Linked DNA regions of Diceros bicornis minor. The protein of the gene in region 1 binds, or shares a complex with, the protein of each later gene. Links are inferred from orthologs where the notes say so. Each region holds a gene or a part of one and is shown in the gene's direction. Other genes may lie near its edges.

Region 1 (11,808 bases):
GTGAGCGAGTGTGAAGGCCTAGGACATTACTACATACTACCGTAGCCTTTATAAACACTGTACACTTAGGCCAAACTAAATTTATATAAAGAATTTTTCTTTCTTCAATAATAAATTAACCTTAGTTTATTATAACTTTTTTACTTTATAAACTTTTTCATTTTTCAAAACTTTTTGACTTTTATAACATTTAGCTTAAAACACATTGTACAACTGTAGAAAAATATTTTATGTCCTTATTCTATGAGCTTTTCTCTATTTTTAAAATTTTTAATTTTCTTTAACTTTTTAAACCTTTTTGTTAAAAAGTAAGACACAAACACACACATTAGCCTAGGCCTACACGGGGTCAGGATCATCAATATCACTGTCATCCACCTCCACATCTTGTCCCACTGGAAGGTCTTCAGGGGCAATAACATGCATGGAGCTGTCATCTCCTGTGGTGACAATGCCTTCCTCTTGAATGCTTCTTAAAGGACCAGCCTGAGGCTCTTCTCAAGGAGGTGCTACTCTTTTCAGAAATATGTCCATGGTGGTTTGCTTGGTTTCTTTCTTTTTTCATCATAGATTTGCTTATAAGCAGATAATGCACCATGAACATTCCTATTAATGAAAAACTTTGGTGTTGGGGTCCATGTTTTCAAACTTTTTAAGGAGCTTCTTGAGGTTTGCAAAAGCTGCTAAACCCTTCACTGTGAATTTTCTTCTGGGTTCTTCTTTTTCTTATCTTGCAGTTTCCTTTTTCTTGTCTCTTTCTTCAGCTGTGTCTTCCTGTTCTACTTCCAACAACTCATTAGCCAATTCCTCAGGAACCACCTCTGGGAGCTCCTCAACATCATCCCCATCCACACCCAGGTTGAAGTTGTTTGCTATCTCAACCATAGCCTGTTGATTTTTGCAATTTCTCATCCTTGTCAAATCCTTTGAAGTCATAAACGAACCTCCTAAGTGTCTTCTTCCGGACGCCATTCATACACTCCTTGCTGACATCACCCCAAGCCTTAGCAAAGTTCTTGATGCAGTCATAGATGTTGTAATCTTTCTAGAATTGCATCAGTGTCTTCTTCAGTTGCAGCAATAGCCTGAGCAAGGGTCCTCCTAAGGTAGCAGGCCTTACAACTGCTATAACTCCTTGATCTGTTGATTGGATCAAAGAGGTGGTGTTTGGAGGGAGAAACAACACTTTGATATTGGAATGAAGATCACCAATAAAAGAAGGATGTCTGGAAACATTAGAAACAATAAGCAAAACCTCTAAAAGTATGTTATTCTCCAAATAGTACTTCTCCATTTCATATTAAAAACCCCAAATGCATATAAAATATTACCATCACTATAAATATTAACATTAAAAATTTTTTTTTGATATTTCCTTTTGTTCTTAGAGAATATCCCACTACAAATATATAATCAAATTACTGTGTTTTACAGGCACTTGAAAAAGTTCCTCTCTGTGTGTTATGGAATATACTGATAGGTAGATATGCTTCATTTTATTTTCAGTTTTGGGATTTCTTTTCAACAGTTAATTTTGTCTTTGGGTGGTGAACATGATGTCATCTATACAGAAAGTGAAATGTAATGATGTACACCTGAAATTTATATGTTATAAACAAATGTTACCGCAATAAAAAAGGGTTAATCTTGTTTTTAATTTAACAAAATTAAACTTTTAAATTTACTTAAATTTTATTAATTTATCTTCTATTTATTATTTATTTGTTATTTATTTAAATTATTTTTAGATTTGAATCTAAAAATCTAAGCTATAAATCTAAAAAGTAAAACTATGTTTAAATAAGTCTAGCTTCTATTCCCGTCTTCTTCACACTGTTTTCTCATTGTCCTTAAAAATAACCCTTTTGAAAAAAAAAATTGTTTTATTTTTCCTTTTTTTTTAATGGAAGCAAGTGTTTACACATTTTTATAGTTCCCATTTTCTTAAACAGTAGCATACAAAGAAAACTTTTCTCTACTTTGCTTTTGTCACGTAACACTACATTTTGAAGATCCTTCCATAGTGGTATATAGAGATAGTCCTCATTCCTTGTTACAGCTGCATTGTATTCCATGTACATAAGCACCATAATTTATCTAACCAATCTCCTTATACGCACATGTGGGGGTATTTCCATTCTTTTAGTGTTACAAGAAGTCCCATAATGAATAGTCCTGAGCATACATCTTTTCATATTTTTGCCACTACAGTCATGTGCCGCATAAGGTCGGTTTGATGAAAAATGGGCCGCATATATATGGTGGTCCCATAAGGTTAGTCCCATATAGCCTAGGTGTGTAGTAGGCTATGTCATCTAGGTGTGTGTAAGCACACCCTATGCTGTTTGCACAACAAAATTGCCCAACTAGGCATTTCTCAGAATGTATCCTCATTGTTAAGCAACACATGAGTGTTCTAGGCACAGAGTCCTAGAACTGGTATTGCTGGGTCAATGGCAAATTCATATGTAATTTTGCTAGATATAATCAGGCACATGTGTAACTAAGCAACTTGATGAACTGCAACCGATAAATCAGCATTCAGCTAAGGTGTCTGTATCTCATGATAGCATATAATTACTGTATTTACATACAAAAAGTGGTATACTCATCACTTGAGGTATCAAAATTTGGCCAAAGTTCTTATGGATAAACTAATCATCAATGATTAACAGCATTATTAAAATCTAATGGTAGTGTTCTACAAAGTGAGTTAAAAAGACCTTTCCCCCATTTTGATGTTGTTGATGTAGCTGTTATACACTTACCATAAATAATAAAAACATCCACCAAATACTTATTAAAGCATTTTCTAGTAGCTTTGATCTTCCCAACAATCATATGCAGTGGTTTTTATTCCATCTTATCAACACAGAGAGATTTAGTTACTGCAGAAGGTCACACAGTAAAGTAATGGCAGAGTCAAGCCTGATTCCACAAAGACTGCACTCTGTACACACTAAGTTAATTTGTTTTTGCTAACAAACTCGCTTTTATTTTGGTATACAGAAAATAATTGCAAGTTAGTTGCTGTTTTAAGACATGCAGTAGCAATTTCAAACTATAAGTTAGAAGAGAGGAAGAGAACATTAAAGATTTTTAAAAATCTCCTCCTCATATATATAGAGGTAATTTGTGTGATCAGCAATTTCTTCCTACATATTGCATCAAAAATTACTGCGTGTGGAAATCAACAGTTTTTTTGTAAAGGCCTAAAAATTAACTGAAATCTGAATAGAGCATAATTTTTTTGGTAGGACTGAAATACATCAGTGCTTTTATTATCTTGAATGAATGCTGTAATTATGCACCACTTTACAATAGAAACCTTCATTAGGATTAGTAAGCTTGAGATATAAGATCTTTCCTCTTTACTTTTGTATCCTCCTAAAGTGTCCAATACTATTGAGCATATAAGGGCTGCAAGATCCTTAAATATGCCAGATAATTTGCCTGATTTATTCATTTTACTATTTAAGAACATGGAGGCTGAAGGGAAGTCATATGAGAGTTTAGTTTAAGCTAATTTCCAGAGCAGTCAGTCTTTTTAGATTTTCTTTTTTCTTGGCATTGTTGCTTAAATAGTCATTTGGACAATAAAACATTTAAATGTTTGGACATATAAGGTTTGATGTCATTTTGTTTATGGTAATATTAAAATTTATCCATTGAATTTTTCCTTTTCTTCTTTTGCTTGGCAATTATCCAGTGTTTTGGCAGAATATTAATATTAAAAGAAAGAAGTAACTCTTATTCTCCAATATAAAACATTTTGAAGTAAAAAAAAAAAGATTCATCACAAAGAGAACACTATTATGTATCTGTCTAAGTATACGGCTGTTACAAAGTATGAGTTCACAAACTAAAATTCCAGTATAAACGTTTCCTATATGGTATAAAGAGCCGCTAAAATTAGAAAAGTTCTTTAAGCTTTAGGGCACAAAGAAGAAAAAGTTCAGATAAAAACAATTTAAATATGTTGCTAAATTCAGTCTTACATGGGAGGAGTTTTCTGTTCACAAATTTTCACTTTTGTGAACCAAAGAGCTGTAGCCTCCAAACTATTCAGACCCACTCTTCTGGTGCAAGATCAGAGAATATCTCTTTCTGAAACTAAACTGGTTGGCACACGTATATTGTGATTGACAGCATATTATAGCTAACTGAAGGTTGGAAAACAATAAATTGGAATGGAATCCATGATACTTAGATGCCAGGCATACGGGGGGGGGGGGGGGGGGGGATCTGGGTAAATATTAACCAAGTGTTTAGGCATTGTTGCAATTTAGTGTGTAAAGAGAGAAGTGGACTCAGAGGAGCCTCCTGGGAGTCCGAAGGTCTTAAGGAGCCAGGACTGGGTTTTCTGCCTTTTTAATGCAGTAACTATATCCTATTGTTTCAAAGGTCAGACCCAATCAGGGCATATCTGTCATCAACCCCCTTAGGAATAATTGTGTGGAGAACAAATCTCATAGATTCTTTGCCATGTCCTGTCTGCAGTAGTCTTAATTTTAACGGATAGCAAAACATTTGATCATTTAGTTAAGAATACCCAGTGGTAAGGAAGAAAATAAGGTGGAAGGTGAGGGATTCCACGTGCACACAGTACATACAGGAGGTAACAAGAAGTCTTCTTAAAATAACAAGCAGTGAAATTTACCAGGAATGGTATTGTTTAGTAAAATTTTTCAGGCTCATAGTCACCTGAATATTAAATGAATTACAAATGTGGATGGAATCATAATGTTATATATCAAGAACACTATGATTTCCTGCGAATTTTTTTTTTCTTAAGTGCCCCCAAACAGGCAGCTGTGCAGGGAACTAAGAAGCGAGTGTTAAGAGGATGTTGTTCGATCAGATGGTGTTAAAAGAAATCTCAAGATTAACAGATATTTTCTATACCCATTCACAAACTATCCACAACTTCCCATTTTCTGAGTATTAACGGCCTGCTTTCATTAATCTCTTCCTTCAAGTCCTGGCGGATTGCACCTTTTCCTCTCTCTGGTAGGACGCCTTTGATATTCTTCACATCTGGTTTCAGTGGCATAGAACTTTTGACGTTTTGTTTTGCTTTGCCTTTTAGGATAAACTCCCTCACTTGTCCAGACCACCCATTCCATGTCTCTTGAAATTCCTAGGGACAAGAAAATTAGGTACTGTGACTTCTGCCTTCTAAACAGAGCATTCTCTGTTCTGCGTGAAATGTTGATATAAAGGCGGGATTTGGTGGAGCAGAGCAGGTCAAACGCCTATAGAATTGCACTCCAAGACCTGGACAGTTTCTGCCCGCTCTCTGGCAGCGAGGAGCCGTGTGAGTTGGTTGGCCAAGGTCAAGTATTTCAGATGTTAGTCACTACATGCTGGCTATGTGGAGACACAGAATTTTGGCAGTAGGTTAAAAAAACAGGGAAGGTTATCATGCTGTCATAACCCTGTGGTCGGTGTTTCGTTTTGCTTTTTTTGGCATTTCCACTACTATCAGAAATCATTTAAGTACGTGGGCTGGTAGGGGCCGAACCTTTGGGGAACTTAAATCCAAAGACTTTGTAGCTGTACTTGAGACAAACAACTCAGCCGGTTTTAGGGGTTATTAATTCTGGAATGTGTTAACAGTAGGCCCAAATCAGCATTCATCCCCTTTAGGAACACGTACACAACTTTGCAAGCGAAAGGCCAACCCTCGGCGGAAGGCGCGAACGCCTCAAAGCTCTCAGTCTAAGCCGAGATCACGCTCTGACGTGACTCCGCGTTTAAAACTCTGCCCTGAGTCCAAGCGCGCCAGGGGCCGGAAGCTGGTCCACGTGACTGGTCCTCCTCCGCGGCCATTCCTAACGAGGCAGCCCCCACCGCCCCTTCCACATTTCCTAGCTCCTCCAGCGTGGGACGGCGCAACAACGCCTGAGAGGAGGCGGTCCCAGCAAGCTTTGGACTCGAGTATCACCAAAACTCACGCCTTTCCCGGCAGTGGTTTGCAAGCTCCTCACCCCAAACGAGCCGCCGAACTTCCGCCTGCGTGCCAACCACGTGATCACGCGAGACTTGGGGAGGCAGCGGTCCGACTTCAGTACACCAGACCCCGGGCTCCGCCTGCCCAGCACCCTCCACGGCGCGTGACGACGCGACTCGCGGCGGCCACCGCCCCGGCGCGCCTGCGCACGCGGCTCTCGCGGTGTCTCGCGCTGAGCCCCGCCCACCTGTGCCCCCGCCCTTTCCGCCCCTCCCTCCCCCTCCGCCCTGTCTCTCGGCGGCAGCGGCGGCGGCGGTGGCTCGCGCAGCTCGTTGGCTCGCTATATAAAGGGGAGAAGCGGGCGGACCGGACGGCTGGAGCTGCAGCCGGTGGCGGCAGCGGCGGCGCGGGGAGCGGCGACCGGTGGTGGTTCCCTCCTGGGCGCGGGGTGGGGAGCGGGCAACGCCCCCCGGACCCCCCAAAGGGTCGTGGTTTTTTTTTTTTAAGGGCGATTCTCGAGGTTTTTAGCTCCGGGAGGACTGCCCCCCTCCTCCACCTCCCCCTCTCCTCTCACCGCTCCCCTCTACTCCTTCAGGATCCGATTTTGTTGAAAAATTTTTCCCCCCCATCTTGCGGTGGCTTGGGTCACCCTCTGGGTGTTTCGGTTTTTTCTTTTTCTTTTTTTTGGTTTTGTTTTTCTCTTGTTTTCTCGGGGTTGCTCCCCTCTTGTTTGTGTTGTGTGTGGAAATGGCGAACTCGGCAAATACAAACACCGTGGTAAGGACGTGGTGCGGTGGCCGGCGGGGGCTTCGTCCAGGCGGCAGCAACGGCCGGACCGGGCGGGGGCGGGGACGGCGGCGACTCCCGGCCTCGACTCTCCTCAGCCGCCCGCGCGGCCACCGCCGCCGCCGCTTCCCGCCTCGGGCGGAGCGGGCCGGGGCGCCGGGCGGCGGGCGCGGGGGGGCGCCGAGGGCTCGCGGCGGCGGCGGCGGCGGCGGCGGGAGGGCGGGGGTGCCGGCGGGGCCTGGGGCCGCGGAGGCGGTTGGGCCGGGGCGAGTGCGCGGCCCCGGCCCCAGACCCCGGCCGCCGGGGGGGAGGGCGGGAGGGGAGCCGCCGCTGCCCCCGAAGTGGGCCCGGCCGCGCCGGCTCGAGAAGGGCTCCCCGAGCCGCCTCCAAACAAAAACCGGGTCTGGGGAATTGGGCGAATCCCCAAGACCCACCGCGATCCACTTTCCTGCAGTGGAACGTTGATGGCTACTTCGGGGGGGAACTTGGGGTGTTTCTGGCTGTTGTGCTTAGGGAGCCTTCGCTGGGGCCATTTTATGTTTTTTTTTTTTTTAAAAAAGGACGAAGGTTGAAAAGCACTTATCTCGGTTCCTTCCGAATCGGTAAAATGGCGAAGGGGAAGCAAAACCCCCATCGTATCTTCGACTAGCAAAAGCACCAAAACAAACAAAAAAAAGCCTACAGTGGTCAAAGTGCCCCCGCTTTCGCCTTGCAATTTGCCTACTTCTCCCCGTTCGTCCCTTTTTGGTTACTTGCGATCACGTAGGTTTGCAAAAAGCAGTCACATAAAGAACCTTTTCAGTCACCAACGCAATGTGATCACTCGTCCACCCCACTCTCTTATTTTTATTGTGACAATAAAACACGTTTTTGCCCGGTCCCAAATGCCGCAGACCTGCCCGCGGCCGCCCGACTCCGTACCGTTGGCGACTCGGGTCGATCCATCATGGCTGCGGCCGCTTACCCGGCTTTTCAGTCCCTGAGCCTTGTGGTCCTCCTCCCTTTGGCTGCCCTGTTTATATAGAGCCATTGCCGCTCTCTAATATAGACTCTGCCAGGATGGGAAGGTGCTTTTCAGGCCTACGTCACCGCCTCTCCATTTAAACACCAGATCCGGCTTTAAATAGTGAGAGCTGCTGAGAGCGGGGCTGGGAGGTGCGTGCTCCCGACGCGAGAGGCAGGCGCGTGCAGAGCTCGATTTATTTCTAGGTCCTTTCCTTAGCCTGTCATGTTCGCACCCAACGGGGGCTGCTTTCAGAGCCCCAAGTTTTTGTTGTGGTGCAGCCGCTGGGATTTGCCGTCTTTGTTAGGGGAAAAGAGAATTGCTTTCCTTTTTAGTTTTATTTTTGTTTTTAGAGATAATTTTAGGTCAGATGTCTAATCGTTCTTGTATTACAAGATGCCTACATTATTGTCGGGAATGGAAAAAAAGTGCTTTCTACGTTAACTGTTAGCTGCAAAGGACTTGACTTTGGTAGTATTGTGTTCATCAAGTATTCAGGAAATGTGTTAGAATCTAGCTCCTAATATTTCATTATGTTTTCTTATAATAAATAGCGGAGACACGAAGCTGTTCAAAGAAGTAGATAAGTGCCTGAAGCTTCAACGTAGCACCTATATCCACAGTACATTTCTGTGTAGGGGAATTGTGAGTAATGAAAGTGAGGAGGCTTTAACTGCAAACTGGATTTTAAAAAATTAAAATTCTGAGCAGACAAGGTTTTTATTGAATTGGATATTAGTGTGATATCCAATAGAGAAATTAATCCAGTTTGTTTTCCAGTATTGCATGGGGGACTAACACTTTTGAAAGGAACCTTCTAATGAATCATTAGATAATGCTACTAATGGCCCTTGAAATTACCAGTTTTTAGGTTTGAAATATGTGTTTTTTGAAAACCATGACAAACCTCTTAAATGACTTTTTATTTCGTAAAAGGTAAAAACTTTGGCTCAAGGCAAGTTTAGCATTTTAAATAATAATTTGGAAATTGCGTATTTCAAATAGTGCCTGTGTACCCACATACTTCTAAAAACATCAGGATTTTAAGGGCTTTTCAACTTATGAACAATTCTCTTAAATTATTCTTTTTTTTTTTTTTTTTTTTTTTTGTGAGGCGATCAGCCCTGAGCTAACATCCGCCAATCCTCCTCTTTTTTTGCTGAGGAAGACGGCCCTGGGCTAACATCGGTGCCTATCTTCCTCCACTTTATATGGGACGCCGCCACAGCATGGCTTACCAAGCAGTGCGTCGGTGCGCGCCCGGGATCCGAACCAGCGAACCCCGGGCCGCCGCAGCGGAGCGCGCGCACTTAACCGCTTGCGCCACCGGGCCAGCCCCTTAAATTATTCTTTATGTGTATACTTCATGAAGAATACACATTTCCCTTCTTTCAACTGTAGTGCTTATGAATCCATGAAGTGCTCAAGTTTTGGGTTAATTAAGGCACAAAAGCAAAATCTTATTAAAGCAAGGTTGATACATTAAATAGGGAGTGCCAGAAGGAAAGCACATTTGTTACCTATAAATGTCTAGACCTCCAAGCAGAAGATTTTTAGGGGTGACTAATTTCAGAAACCCAAAGCAACATCTAGTTTGCTGAAAAAATAATTTATATCATCAATTTAAGTTTTATACTACCAATTAAAAGTTACACTGCCTCTTTTTAATGTCATTATTGGTTTTAAACAAAGCACTTTATAAATGTGTTTTGTAATTCAGTAGTTAAATTGCCATAGATAAGGTGATACCCATAGGCAGACTTTCCTCTTATATAGAATCAGAATATTAAAATAGAGACACTGTAGAGATGCACGTTTTACACACGAATAATTTTAAAGTTCACAGAAGCTGATTTGGCAAACTAAAAAAGCAAGTTAGTGAGTGGAGCAGCAGAGGTGAGAACCTAGATACATGAATTGTTTTTCTGGTTGTAATGAAAAAGAGCAAATAGTTTTTAATGGTTGAGGTACATTTTATGGAAGAATTCATTATTTGTATTTTTAACTAGGCAAGGACACATTTTCTTAGAGGGTTCCCTTGTGATAACAGTTTTGCTGATAGAGATGCTAATGAAACATTTATTTCTGTTTGAGGTTTGCCTATGAGAGCAAACCCTTAGTTTTATTGGATAACCAGTAACTTTTACCTTAAACAAGATAGAACACAAATAGTGACAAAGCTTATTAAAAGAAAAAGGCTGTTAACCTTAACTCTGTGATAATGGATAGGATTTATAGTGAGGCAACTCTAGTTTTATTATTCTAACATGTAAACTTCCGTTTGTCTGATGTGTTAAAAATAGGATGTGGGGTTGGGCAAATTGTTCTCTATCCCACCTTTTGCTTTTTAAAAAATACTTTATACTTTTGAAAGTGCTTTCACATGTATTTTCATTTTATCCTTCTGGCAACCTTCTAGAAGCAAGCTTCCCCTCACCCCCAAGTAATACCAACAATAATAGTAATAATAATAATAATTTAAAAAATAAACATTGAGGGGCTGGCCCGGTGGTGCAAACGGTTAAGTGCGCGCGCTCTGCTGCGGCGGCCCGGGGTTCGCTGGTTCGGATCCTGGGCGCACACTGACGCCCCGCTTGGCGAGCCGTGCTGTGGTGGCGTCCCATATAAAGTGGAGGAAGATGGGCATGGATGTTAGCCCAGGGCCAGTCTTCCTCAGCAAAAAAAAGAGGATTGGCAGATGTTAGCTCAGGGCTGATCTTCCTCACACACACACACAAAAAACATCGAGGCTGCTCAAGATTCTATTCCATAGCATCATTTGGGCAGTGGTAGAAGGAGAGAAATCCTGAGAGAGACATCAGTATGCCTTGTTCCTCTGGGACTTGAGGATCTGTTATTGTGAATATATGAACAGTTTTGTGGTATAGCTTAAGGATACAGACTGAGTAACAAAAACAAAAATGAGGTGATTTTTAGATTTGGATACTCATTAGGTTGCAGATTATTACCAGGCAGATGACTGCAGGACATAAGGTTCTCTAAAGTCTGAGACTTAGTGACGAGGTTATGAGATAGAATAGGATCAGACTAAGCAAGGAGTAATAGGAACTAGGCATAGCAACCCATAAAGCTATTACTGGATCACATTACAACATAGGAAATTATAACTGGAAATTGTATGGGCCTTGTATGTGTAAGGACCTTCTGCATATGAACTGCATTAAATAGTCTTAAAACTTCTGTTAAAATAGTCATCCAATAATCCATTTTAACTAAGGCAAATGAGGTTTATTAGGATGGCCATATTTTTAAAGTTATGTCTTCTAGAATAAGATTTAGATAACTTGGAAAAATGACTATTGTATTACATTTAATTTCTTTTGAATTTGTGAAAATGTGTTTTTTAATATGTGAAAAATGATCATTTTCAACAGTCTTATTTTTCCTTTAAAGCCTAAATTATACAGATCTGTGATTGAAGATGTTATTAATGATGTAAGAGACATCTTTTTGGATGATGGAGTTGATGAACAAGTTCTGATGGAACTAAAAACTGTGAGTTTGCCTTTTTTTTTTCTTTTTGTCATATTTTTTTTTTTTTAAACATTCTCTTCAGCCAGAGACTAATTCATAACTTTTCCATAGTTTGAACATTTGACTTTGTGGCACGAGGCACTATAGTTAAGTGAAGGCTGCTGGTTTTAAATCCCACCTCTACCATCTGTTCTTCCTCTTACCTTAGACAAACTACTTAATATTTCAGTTTCCTTATATGTGAGATGGGAATTAGTAGTACTTACCTTATAGGTTTGTTTTGAGGATTACTGTAATAACTGTATAAAGTACTTAGTATAGTGCCTGGTAATAGCATTAGCTGTTGTTAATGGAGAGTTAACATTTTACATTTATGGTCAATTACTTGACATACCTGTACTTTTTTTTCCTTTTTCTTTTTTATGGTCTTAATGTAACTCTATTCTAAAAGGTGTTTATGTTGTGGAGATTGAATAAGTGCTTGATAAAAGAATTTCATGTTCTTGAATCCAGTTCTTTATGTGGGCCACTGTTGGGTTTATAATGTATTTTACTTTGGGAGCTGATTTTC
Region 2 (11,434 bases), on another chromosome or scaffold:
ATAGGCATTTAAGTTTCCAGAATCATTAGCATAAAGTTGTTCATGCTATTCCTATGTTTTATCCCTAAAATTGCCTACCTTTTCTTGTTCCTAGCATTATTTGGCCTCTTCTTTTTTACTTTTAAGCAGTCACCTAGAAGTTTATTAATAGAAAAAATTGCTTATTAATTTTTCATCATCTATTGGTTTTGCTGATCATCTCTATTTTATTGTGTTTTGTTTTCTATTTCTGCTCTTCATTATTTTCTTCTTTCTTTCTTCGGATTCACTCAGTCCTTTTCCTAACTTCTTCAATAATGCTTACCTAATATATTATGAGCATTTCTTGCTCCTTCATAAACACATTTAAGACTATAAATTTCCCTCTAAATTTTGCTTTACCTCAATTTCACGAGTCCTGATATCTCCACTGCAATTTCCTCTAATCCAGGGATTGTTTAGGATTGTTTTTAGTTTCCAAACATGAAATTTCTAAAGATTATCTTTTCATTGTGCTATACAACACAGATTCTTTGGAATTGTGGAGACTTGCTTTGTTACCTGGTTGCAGTCAATATTTATAAATGTATCATATAAACTTATTCTGTTATGGGTAGAATTTAGTATATCTATTATATCAAGCTTGTTAATTGTGTTATTAAGTTTCTATAGCCTTACTAATTTTTGTGTGCATGATCTACCTCATATAGAGGTACCTCAGAGAGGTTTTGTGTTTTTTGTTTTTTGAGGAAGATTAGCTCTGAGCTAATATCCATGGCCAATCTTCCTCCTCTTTTTATTTTTTTGCTTGAGGAAGATTTGTCCCAAGCTAACATCTGTTCCCATTTTCCTCTATTTTATACGTGGGTCGCCGCCACAACATGGCTTGACAAGTGGTGTAGGTCCACGCCTGGGATCCAAACCTGGAACGTGGGCCACCAAAGTGGAGCATGCAGAACTTGAACCACTGGGCCATGGGGCTGGCCCCCAGAGAGGTTTTTATTGTCTATTCACGAGAGATATTAATCTATAGTTTTCTTGTGATTACTTTGATTTTCACATCAAGTTAACACTGGTCTTATAAAATAATTTGCTAAGTGTTCCATCTTCTTCTATATTCTGGAAGAGTTTATGTAGAACTGGCATTCTTCTCCCTTAAAAGGTTTTAAGTAGTGCTCCCATATTATCTTTTTAAGGTCTTGGGTCTAAAGTGATGTCCTCTTTTTCATTCCAGATTTTGGCAATTTGCGTCTTCTCTTTTTCCTAGCTGTTCTGGCTAGAGGCTTATCAATTTCATTGATATTTTCAAAGAACCAGCTTTTAGTTTAATTGAATTACTCTCTTGTTTTTCTATTATCAATTTCATCGGTTTGTGCTCTTTTATTAGTCTTTATTGCTTTCATTTCAACTAGCTATTCTTTCTCAAGCTTCTTAAAATTGAAGTTAAGATTACTGATCTAAGATTTCTTCCTTTCTAATATAAGTATTTAATGCTAAAAATTTCCCTCTAAGCACTGCTTTCGCTGCATCCCTCAAATTTTGATATGCTGAGTGTTTTTTCTTTCATTCAGTTAAAAATATTTTCTAATTTCACTATGAGGCTTCCTCTTTGATCCGTGGGATGTCTGTGTTGTTGATAGCGCCGTCAAGTCGATTATGACTCCTAGCGAACCCATGTACAGCAGAGCAGAACCTGCCTGATCTTTTTTTTGTGCCACCCTCTCATCTTCCAGTGCTACAGACAATGCTCCGCTGCTATTCATGGGGTTTTCACGGCCAATTTTTTTGGAAGTGGGTGGCCAGGTCCTTCTTCCTAATGGGATATTTAGAAGTGTGTTACTTAATTTCCAAATATTTAGGAATTTCCAGATATCTTTGTTATTGATTTTTAGCTTAATTCCATTGTGGCTGGAGAATAGGCTTTGTATATTTTCAATTCTTTTAAATCTTGGCTTGTTTTATGACAAGGATTATGCTCTATCTTGGTGAATGTTCCTGATGCACTTGAAAAAAATGTATATTCTGTTGCTGTTGGGTAGAGAGTTCTACAAATGTCTGTTCATTGTCTGATAGTGTTTTTCAGGTCTTCTCTTCCTCACTGATTTTAATATGACTCATGCTGTTGATTACTAACAGAGGAGTGTTGAAGGCAGGGGCTAGTGAGATCATGAACATCATTTTTAGCTAAGTTAAGCAGTCTAAAGCTTACCCTGAGTTAAGGGAAGCTGTTGGGAGATTAACCTTAAGAAATGGAGTAACACGATAAAAAAATTTTTTTAGAGGTAGACATGGGGAAAACGAATAGGGAGGCTTTTAAGGATAATCAGAGAGAAAGTTGTATTTGAATTAAGGAAGTGGCTCTGAGAATGATCAAGAAGAAACAGACTTAAGGAGGTATTAAGAGAATAGAATCTAATAAACAATTGGATAAGAGATAAGGAGAATGGCTAAGAGGGAGGAGACAATTATGATTCCCAGTTTCTGGTTTTACTGAGTATATAGGGACAATACTTACCAAATAGGAAAATAAAGGAAAAGAAATGGATTTGAGGAAAAGGATGAATTCCCAGTTTCAACATGCTGAGATTAAGGTTCTTGTAAAATATTCTGTAAGATGTCCATTAAGCTATGTGGGCTCAGCAAAGAGGTCTAAGCTATAGATATAGATTTATGAGTCATTAGCACGTACTAGTAATTGAAACCATAGTTTTGGATGAAGTTATTGAAAAATGGTTTATAAAACGGTGTTTCTCAAAATATCATCCTAGGATTGTCTGCAGATTATTAAAATACAGATCCCTAGGCACTATTTTAGATTGAATTTCCCTGCTCAAAGTCTCACAAGGCTGAAACCAAAGTGTTAGCAGGGCTGCATCCCTTATTGAAAGCTCTGGGGGCGATTCCACTTTCAGGCTCATTCAGGTCAGTGGCAGAATTCACTTCCATGCAACTGTAGGGCTAAGGTCCTGTTTCCTTGCCACTTGTTGTCTGGGTGCCACCCTTAGCTCTCAGAGGCCTCTCTCTGGTCTTTACAGGTAGTCCCCTAGATCTCAGGCCCAGCAACAGCTTATCCTTCTCACACTGCCAAATCTCTGACTCTTCTGCTTTCCTCTTCCACTTTTAAGGATCCATGTGATACATTTGGCTCTCCCGGATAATCTAAAATAATCTCCCTATCTTAAGATATGTAACCTTAATTCCATCTGCAAAGTCCCTTTTGCCATGTCATGTAACATATTCACAGAATCCAGGAATTTGGGCATGGACATCTTTGGGGGGCCAGTATTCTGCCTACCATAGACCACTGTGAGCATTCTTTTTCTTTTTTTTTGTGAGAAAGATCAGTCCTGAGCTAACATCCGTGCTAATCCTCCTCTTTTTGCTGACGAAGACCGCCTCTGAGCTAACATCTATTGCCAATCCTCCTCCTTTTTCTTTCCCCAAAGCCCCAGTAGATAGTTGTATGTCATAGTTGTACATCCTTCTAGTTGCTCTATGTAGGACACCACCTCAGCATGGCTTGATGAGCAGTGCGTAGGTCCGCGCCCAGGATCCGAACCGGCAAATTTAACTGTTACGCCACTGGGCCAGCCTCCTCACTTCCACATAATTTTAAAGTCAGCCTGTCGATTTCTATTTTTACAAAGCCTTTGGATTATGACTGTGACTACATTAAATCTGAAACACTAATTTTAAGTAGAAAACAGAGGAGAAATTCTAAGAGACTAAGAAGAAGGACACAGAAAGTAAAAAAGGAGAGATTATGAATACCAAGTGAAACAAATATTCAACAATTCCATTACATTTAACAACCGGAGCCTTCATAATGGTAGAGTCGTTGCCCTGGTTGGAGAAGAAACCAGACTGAAACTAAACGCCCATTCTCCCCTTCGTTTTTATTAATAAAACTCCTGAAATGTAACTGGGCACACAAATAACTGAATAAGCACTACATTGTCTATTTTTCTTTCTAGCTAAGTGTGGTCACTAAGAACTGGCTAATGGGTCATAAGTGGATGTGTCATGTGCAACTTCTGAGAAGTGTCCTTAAAGAGAATAGTATGTGTCTTTCTTCAACCTTCCCTCTTCTCTCTTCCCAGGAGCAGGTGGCAGTTGGAATTAAAGTGTCCACCTCAACTATCAGATTGAGATGAGGCAGCACGCTAAGGATGGCAGAATAGCAAGACAGAAGAATCCAAGTCCTTGATGATCATGGAGCTGCTGCCATACCAGCCATGGCCTGCCTACCTATGGAATCATATGCATACTTAAGCCATTATTACCTTATATTTTCTGTGTGCAGAAATGCAGCCAAATCTAATTCTAACAAATCACGGTTTTAAATATCTATATGCCAGAGATTCCAAAGTTGTACCTCCAGCCACAATCTTTCCAGACTCATCTATCCAACAGCTACTGGAATATTTCCACTTGGATGCCCAACAGGCCTTTCAAACTCAACTGACAATACAGAATTCTTTGTCTCCCCAAACTCTTCCTCCACTCATCCTCCCCATCACTACCAAACAAACGGTAAATACCCTTTGATGATAAATGTAAATAACCTACCACACAGCTCAAGCAAAACTTGGATGTTGCTCTGGATTCTTTGTTTTCTCCTCACCTCATATCTAAACCATGCACAATTCCTGTTCTCTGCCATCAAAACATATCACAAATCCATCCATTTTTCTCCGTTTTCGGTATTACCACTCTAGCTCAAGTCACCATCATCTCTCATTTGGAGTAAGGCAATAGCATCCTCAGTGGTGCTTTTCGTACCTTAACAAATCCCTCCCAGAAAGAAAAAAAGTTCTGGAGTTAGACAGTAGTGATGGCTGCACAATAACATGAATACCACTGAACTACATACCTAAAAGTGGTTAAAATGGTAGTAAATTTTATGTGATGTATATTTAACTCCAATAAAACAAAAGAAATCTTTCCTAAATATAGCCTCCTATATTTTTTTCTAAATATTTTACAGATGTGTCTTCCACACTTAGGTCTTTAATCCATTTGGAAATTACTGTTGTGAATGGTGTGAAGCAGGAATCTAATTTTGTCTTTATTCTATATGGATATCACGTATCTCAGCACCATTTACTGAACAGTCTATGCTTTTCCTCCTGCTTTGTAGTACCACTTAGTGGTATACTAAACTCCCATATGTACATGGGTGTGGTTCTAGGCTCTCTACTCTGTTCCATGAGTCTATTTTTCTATCCCTGAACCAATACTAGTAATTAAGACAGTAGTCTTCATTATTATGGCTTTATATTAAGTTTTGCTATCTGGGAGGAAGGGACTTTATTTAAAATTTTTCTTCAAAATTGACTTAGCTATTCTTGGTCCTTTATCTTTCCATATATATTTTTGGCTCAGCATGTCAAGTTCCATGAAAAAACATATACCAATTTCAATTGGAATTGCCCTGAATCTGTAAAATTGGGGAAAACTGACATCTTTATGATATTGAGTCTTCCCATCCATGAATATGGTATATCTCTCCATTTCTTGGGTCTTCTTTTTTGTTTCAATAGAGCACTATAATTTTCTCCCTAAAAGACTATACAGTTTTAGTTTGATCTATTCCTCGATACCTTTAGTTTTGAATACAGTTATGAATAGTATCTTTATATTAAAATTCCTAGCTGGTTACTGCTGGTGTACAGAAGTCACTTTTTTTCATTCAGAAATCTGCATGAACTGAAGGCCATTTCTGACACCTCCATAACCAAAGCAGCCCTTCCAGTCTCTTTATCACATTACCATCTGATACCTTCCTGTTAACTCATTTTAGTGTCTCTCTTTTCCACCATAATTAGTTGCTTGTTCACCACTGTGTCTCCAGAGTCTAGCACAGTGTCTGGCACATATTAGGCCCACAAAAATGTTTGTTGAATAATTGGATGGAGGTTTCAAATCTGGGTGATTCAGAAAAACACAGGAAGAAAGAAGGTTTTGAAGTGAGGATGAAATGAGAACTACTTCAATTTGAGAGGTGGACTTGAGAGTACTCACAGGTTATTAAGGTGCAAGCATGAGGCCTGCACCTGGAGCACAAAAGTGGGAGGTTCAACGCAATGGAACTGCTGAGATGGTCAAGGAGGAGGATACATTCAAGAAGGAAAAAAAAGAAAAGATACTTGGCAGGAACTATACTTGGGGCAGATCAAAGAGAGAGAGAGAGAGCGTGCTCAACAATATGGAAACCAACGGGAGGAAAACGATTTGAGGGATAAAGAGGGAAATAAATGGAAAAACTAGGTTCGTAAATTACATGAACACAAGAAATAAAAAGGAGCGTAAGCTCAATTGGGAAAGCACAATTTACCCAAGGCACAGAAAGCAAGAACCTCACATCTCCACTGGTAAAAACAATTAAAGAAAGAGAGAGCTCTATGAGACTACAGGTCAGAATCTGGGGAAGGGATTAATTTTGGAACCCCCTGGGGTCTTTCACTTTAGAATAACCGTTACCGGGCTTAGAGACCTATCAGTATTCAATCTATTCAATCCCCCAGGGCAGAGCTAGCAGCTGCGGTCTGGAAGGTTCCGATGTGAATGGGGAGACTGTTTCCACCTCCTGGTCCTCATCTCTCCGTGACTACCCCGCCCGGGCTGACGGTACCGGCAGGTGCTCTTTGGGCCTCGGAGAGGAACTAGAGAACGGCCGTGACCGGAAAAGAAGAGTCCGGCTGCTGACGCTGAGCGAGCGGCCCTCACGCCCGGCGGCGGGTCAGCGGGTCAGTCGGGGGCCCCGCGTCCTCGCGGGGGCGCCCCGGCCGCGCCCCGTCGCCGCCCTCCCCACTACCCCCCGTGCCCGGCTTCGCCGGCGCCCTCACCCGCCCCCACGAGCCCGGCCTCCCCTTCCTACCTGCCGGCACGCGGACTCGGCGCGCCCCCGCCGCTCACCGCGGATCCCGTAGGTGGCGAGCCCACCGCTCTCGGCGGCTCCCACCCCGCGCCCTCCACCTGGTGGCTGGCGGTACGTGACCCCGCCCCCACCTCGCCCCGCCCCCTCGGCCCAGCCCGCGCCCCGCCTCCCGTCGGCGCGCTCCACCCACAAGAGAGACGCAGACGCGATGACGTAGAGGACGCAGGCGCACTTTGTCGGCGACGCCGAGACGCTGCTGGGTGTTTGGGCGTAGGTGCGTGGCGTCGGCTCTCGGAGTAAGAGGGTAAAGTGGGGTATCTGGAAGGCGGAGGGGTCTCGAAGAAAGAGTGGAGAGCGAGAAATGACTCAGAAGCATGTCCTCCAGGTTGTGGGGTTCGTGGTGGTGTCTTGTACCCTCTCCTGGCCCTTCCTGACGAGGCGGGCGGCCGTCCCGCACCATTGAGCTGTGCGTTTCCTACGGGGAGGCGTTGCCCGCGCCCAGGTGTAGAAGTTTAGGGGTCACTCTGGCGTGCGCTGGGTGGGTTCCCTTCCTTCAAGCGCAAGTCACGGGGAACGTGATTATTTGGTGAAAGGACACAAGATCTGGAGACTGGGCTTGCACCCTCCTGTGTTTTGTTTCCCGGGAGCTACAGCTTAATCTCTTGGCTCGATCTCATCTGTAAAACCAGATGGTCCGGCTCACTATATAATTTTTAAGGCCCCTGTCAGAGCTACCGTTCTGTGATTCCTGCCTCCAGGATCTTCTCTTTTATCGTACTTTTGGATGGGAAAAGAAATGTTTTGACTAACGGACATGTTTTAAACCTAGGTTGGGCACACGGTAGGATTGACAGTGGGTAGAATTTGTTTGCAAGTAAGATTTATGCTTATTAGTATTCCAAATAGACTCATTTTAATTTTGTTAAAAGATTACAATATCTGTATGTTTTCTTAATCTTAGCCCTGTGTCTTTCATAAATTTAAATGTTTAGTCTTGACATTTAATATTTCTCCTTGTTTCAGAGGTCACCAGAGTGTATTAAAGTTGATGCTTTTGAATTTTATGTCACCTTATCCCTTTTGTTGGCATTTTTAAGGTCGTCTGCACCTTCTGCCTGGGAAGATGGTCAACGTCCTGAAAGGAGTTCTTATAGAATGGTTAGTAGTTTTGCTACTTAAGGAGTTTTAAATCTACATAGTAAATCTGGATTTACATGTGTACATCTTCTAAAATCCATTTGTGTTTTAAGATCTGAATGAACCAAGTCTTTCCATTTTCTCAACTTCATTTTTCTTAATAACAAGTGGGACAGGTTTTGTTGCTGTGTTTCTTCCTGGTGCCAGATCTCAGTGCCTCTGTTGAATTGATGTAACTGGCATTATTTCCAACAAGTTTTGGTCAGAGGCAGCATATTTGTTAATTAATCCTCTTTAGAGGAACAGTGCTTGTGTTCTCAAACCATCAGGGGTTGACTAGAATTTTAGGGTCTGCCTGAGTCTTCACCATCACAGACTATGGTCTTTTAAAAAGAGAAAGAAAAACAGGAGAGCCAGTTGAAGGTTTCTTAAACTAGGCACACATTCCAGAGGCAAAACTAGAAACTTTAATGGGCCGAGTTGAGTTCCTCAAAGCAAGCTAATGTAGGGCTTAGTTATCACTCAGTCTGAAAACCTGAACTACTGGACCAGTCTTGCTCAGTCTCTGCTTGTTTGTTTGCTCCACCAAACAGTTCTGTCTCATCTGGGAATCCTGCCCTGTGGACATTCCCATTGTCTGAAAATACTGCTGTCTACATTTTGTCGGGAAAGAGGGAGAATCTCCCTGTGCCCTTTCCCTTAAGGTTCTTATGGCTGGCCAAATAATTAAAAGACAGGGTAGCAGGAGAAAATAATAGCAAGTTTAATAACATGTATACATGGGAGAAACCAGGGAAACTGAGTTTCTCAACAAACCAGCAGTGATTCTCATCTTAAATACTATCTTCAGCTAAAGACAAAGGAGGATGTTGGGGGTAGGGGGGGTTGCGATTTCAGAGGGGAAGAAGACAATTTACATGGAGAGGGAAATGTAAATGTCAGATGATTCTTTGCAGGGCCATCTATAGAGAATGTGTCTGGAGAGACAGAAATCACAGGAATCAAAAGTATGTAGATTTAAGTTGTTTCCTTCCGTACTGATAAGAGTTTCTACAGAGACAAGGCTATCCCCACACTTCCCAGTACAGAGTGGGAGATACCTTTACAAATGGGGATTTCCCTTATAAATGTAAATGTTTGTCTGGCAACTCTTTGCAGGGCCACCTAGAGAATGTGGGCTGGGAGAGACAGAATTTTTGATAAGATGGGCTTGTTGGTGCCTTTCCTATTGTAACATCTATTTTACATTGTATTACAGCCATCAGATAGTAACTCCTTCCTGGAGCAGGTCTTCTGTGTTAAATTCTTTAGGCAGTTAGTGGGGGAGGTCAAATATCGGTCAGAGAAAACAATCAAGGTAAAGAGACATATTTCAGGGTGGCCAAATCGTGATCTCCCACAGTTTCTGTGCCTCTAATATGAGCCATTGTATGGATGATGGTACTGTTTACTGTGATAGCAAGGCTGAGGAAGGAGCAAGACCAAACCCCAAGATACATCTGGCATTTAGAGCAGCACTGCCCAATAGAAATATAATGTGAGCCACATACATAGTCTTAAATTTTCTAGTAGCCCCATTAAAAAGTAAAATGAATCAGGTGAAATTAATATGTTTTATTTAATTCATATATCCAAAATGTTTCAACATGTTCTAAGTCTTCAAAGTCCGTATTAACACTTCAGACTTGTACCGCCTTTTTTCATACTAAAGCTTCAAAATCCAATGTGTATTTTACTTTTACAGCACATTGCACAGACTGGCCACATTTCAAGTACTCAGTAGTGACATGTGACTAGTGGGCTCTCTTAGGAGTAGTGCAGATTTAGAGTTTGGGTAGAGGAGACACCAGCAAAGGCAGTTAAGAAGAAAACAGCCAGTTAAGTAGGAGGGAAGCTAAGGGAGAGAATGTTTCATGAAGGTGAGTGGGCTGTGTCAAGTGGCGATGAGAGGTGGAATAAGGCGAAGACACACTGGAGGTCATTGATTTTTATGAGAGCTGTTTTAATGGAGAGGGCGGATAGATGCCAGTTTGGACTGCTTTGAAAGCGAGGCAAGGAAGTGGAGACAATTTGGAGAAGTTTTGTTGTGATAATGAGCAAAGGAATAGAGAAATAGGTTGGTGGCTGAAGAAGGGTATGGTTAACGGACTCTGGTTCTTGTTATGTGTGTGCAAGGAAGTGGAGACAATTTGGAGAAGTTTTGTTGTGATAATGAGCAAAGGAATAGAGAAATAGGTTGGTGGCTGAAGAAGGGTATGGTTAACGGACTCTGGTTCTTGTTATTTTCGTTGTTTTAATCTGAAGGACTAGAAAGTATGTTGATAAAAATAAACTGGTAGAGAGGAGAGAGATATTCACTTAAGAAAGCAAAGGGGTCAGGGGTCTAGATCCTAGAAGTTCTAAGCACACTGTTCTGTTATCTTTTGGAAAAGACTTATAGGCTAATTTTTATATTTTTCTTATTATTTTGTCATAATTAATAGAAACATTTTCCTGGTTGGTCTGTTAATGTTATTTTTTGACGCAGAAGATACACACACACAGTGTGAGCTATCAATTTTTTTTTCCCTTTTGTTTCTTTCAATTCTCTTCAATGTAATCTTCACTCTGAATAATTGAGCTTATTTCTAAAATAATGCATTTGGAATGATGGTTGAGATTGTATTAAATCTGTGTTTTAATTTGAAAAAAATGATGGCTGGGCTGCATTTTAAAGAGCAAAACTCTGGGAGACTCATTAAAATCTTGGTGGTAGGCTTTCAGTTTAGCCTTAAGGACAAAGAGTGCCGGTTTGTAAGAGGAACTGAGGTGTAAGTTTTCTTTTCTCATTGGGCAACCTCTCTGCTAGCTTGCTGCTTGTTATCAAGCCTCTGAGTCTGCCTGGGCTCTAATGGCCCTCTGTCATCTTGCTCTTCCGTGTCATCCCCAGACTAGCAGCCACAGCATCATCTGGAGCTTGTTAGGAATGAAAAATTTATTTCCCAAATCTAAATCAGAATTGTGCATACAAACGGTCTTGTCACAGTGCAGTTTTAAGTTTGAGAAGCACTTAATCAGCTTACATTTGATAGTCAGTTCCCCTATGGAGGGTTGTTTTGCACCAGGACCACTTACATTTTATTTTGCAGATGGATAGTATCCTTGCAAAACTAATTTTTCCCTTCAAGATGAACTCGAAAGTGTAGTCTTCACAATTTTTCAAAAGGATAACTGTCTTCCCAAAGATACAAATTTTCCAAAAAGGCTCCAGGCCTAAGAAATAACAGGATGGTAATTGGAAAAATCCTTCAGTTTCCCTCATGTCTATATTTGATGTCAAAGAGAAGATGGTTAATAATACGGTATCTGCATAAGTCTGTTTATTACCTTATAATATCCATAGATTGTAGGAAGCATTTAGGTGTATTGGAGTACAGAATTGGTAAGTGTGGGGTTTAT

The links.
Region 2: GTF2A1 (region 1) and GTF2H5 share a complex: the UniProt entries of both Homo sapiens proteins name them as parts of the TBP-based Pol II pre-initiation complex. The link is inferred for Diceros bicornis minor from reciprocal best matches to the Homo sapiens genes GTF2A1 and GTF2H5.

What each region holds. Positions count from the first base shown.
Region 1 is NC_080763.1:28,582,480-28,594,287, reverse strand, and holds the start of GTF2A1 (transcription initiation factor IIA subunit 1), read left to right. Parts: upstream 1-6,280; 5' UTR 6,281-6,700; coding exon 6,701-6,730; intron 6,731-11,156; coding exon 11,157-11,258; intron 11,259-11,808. UniProt on the Homo sapiens protein: TFIIA is a component of the transcription machinery of RNA polymerase II and plays an important role in transcriptional activation. TFIIA in a complex with TBP mediates transcriptional activity.
Region 2 is NC_080778.1:11,402,294-11,413,727, reverse strand, and holds the start of GTF2H5 (general transcription factor IIH subunit 5), read left to right. Parts: upstream 1-7,136; 5' UTR 7,137-7,982; coding exon 7,983-8,017; intron 8,018-8,952; coding exon 8,953-9,003; intron 9,004-11,434. UniProt on the Homo sapiens protein: Component of the general transcription and DNA repair factor IIH (TFIIH) core complex, which is involved in general and transcription-coupled nucleotide excision repair (NER) of damaged DNA and, when complexed to CAK, in RNA transcription by RNA polymerase II.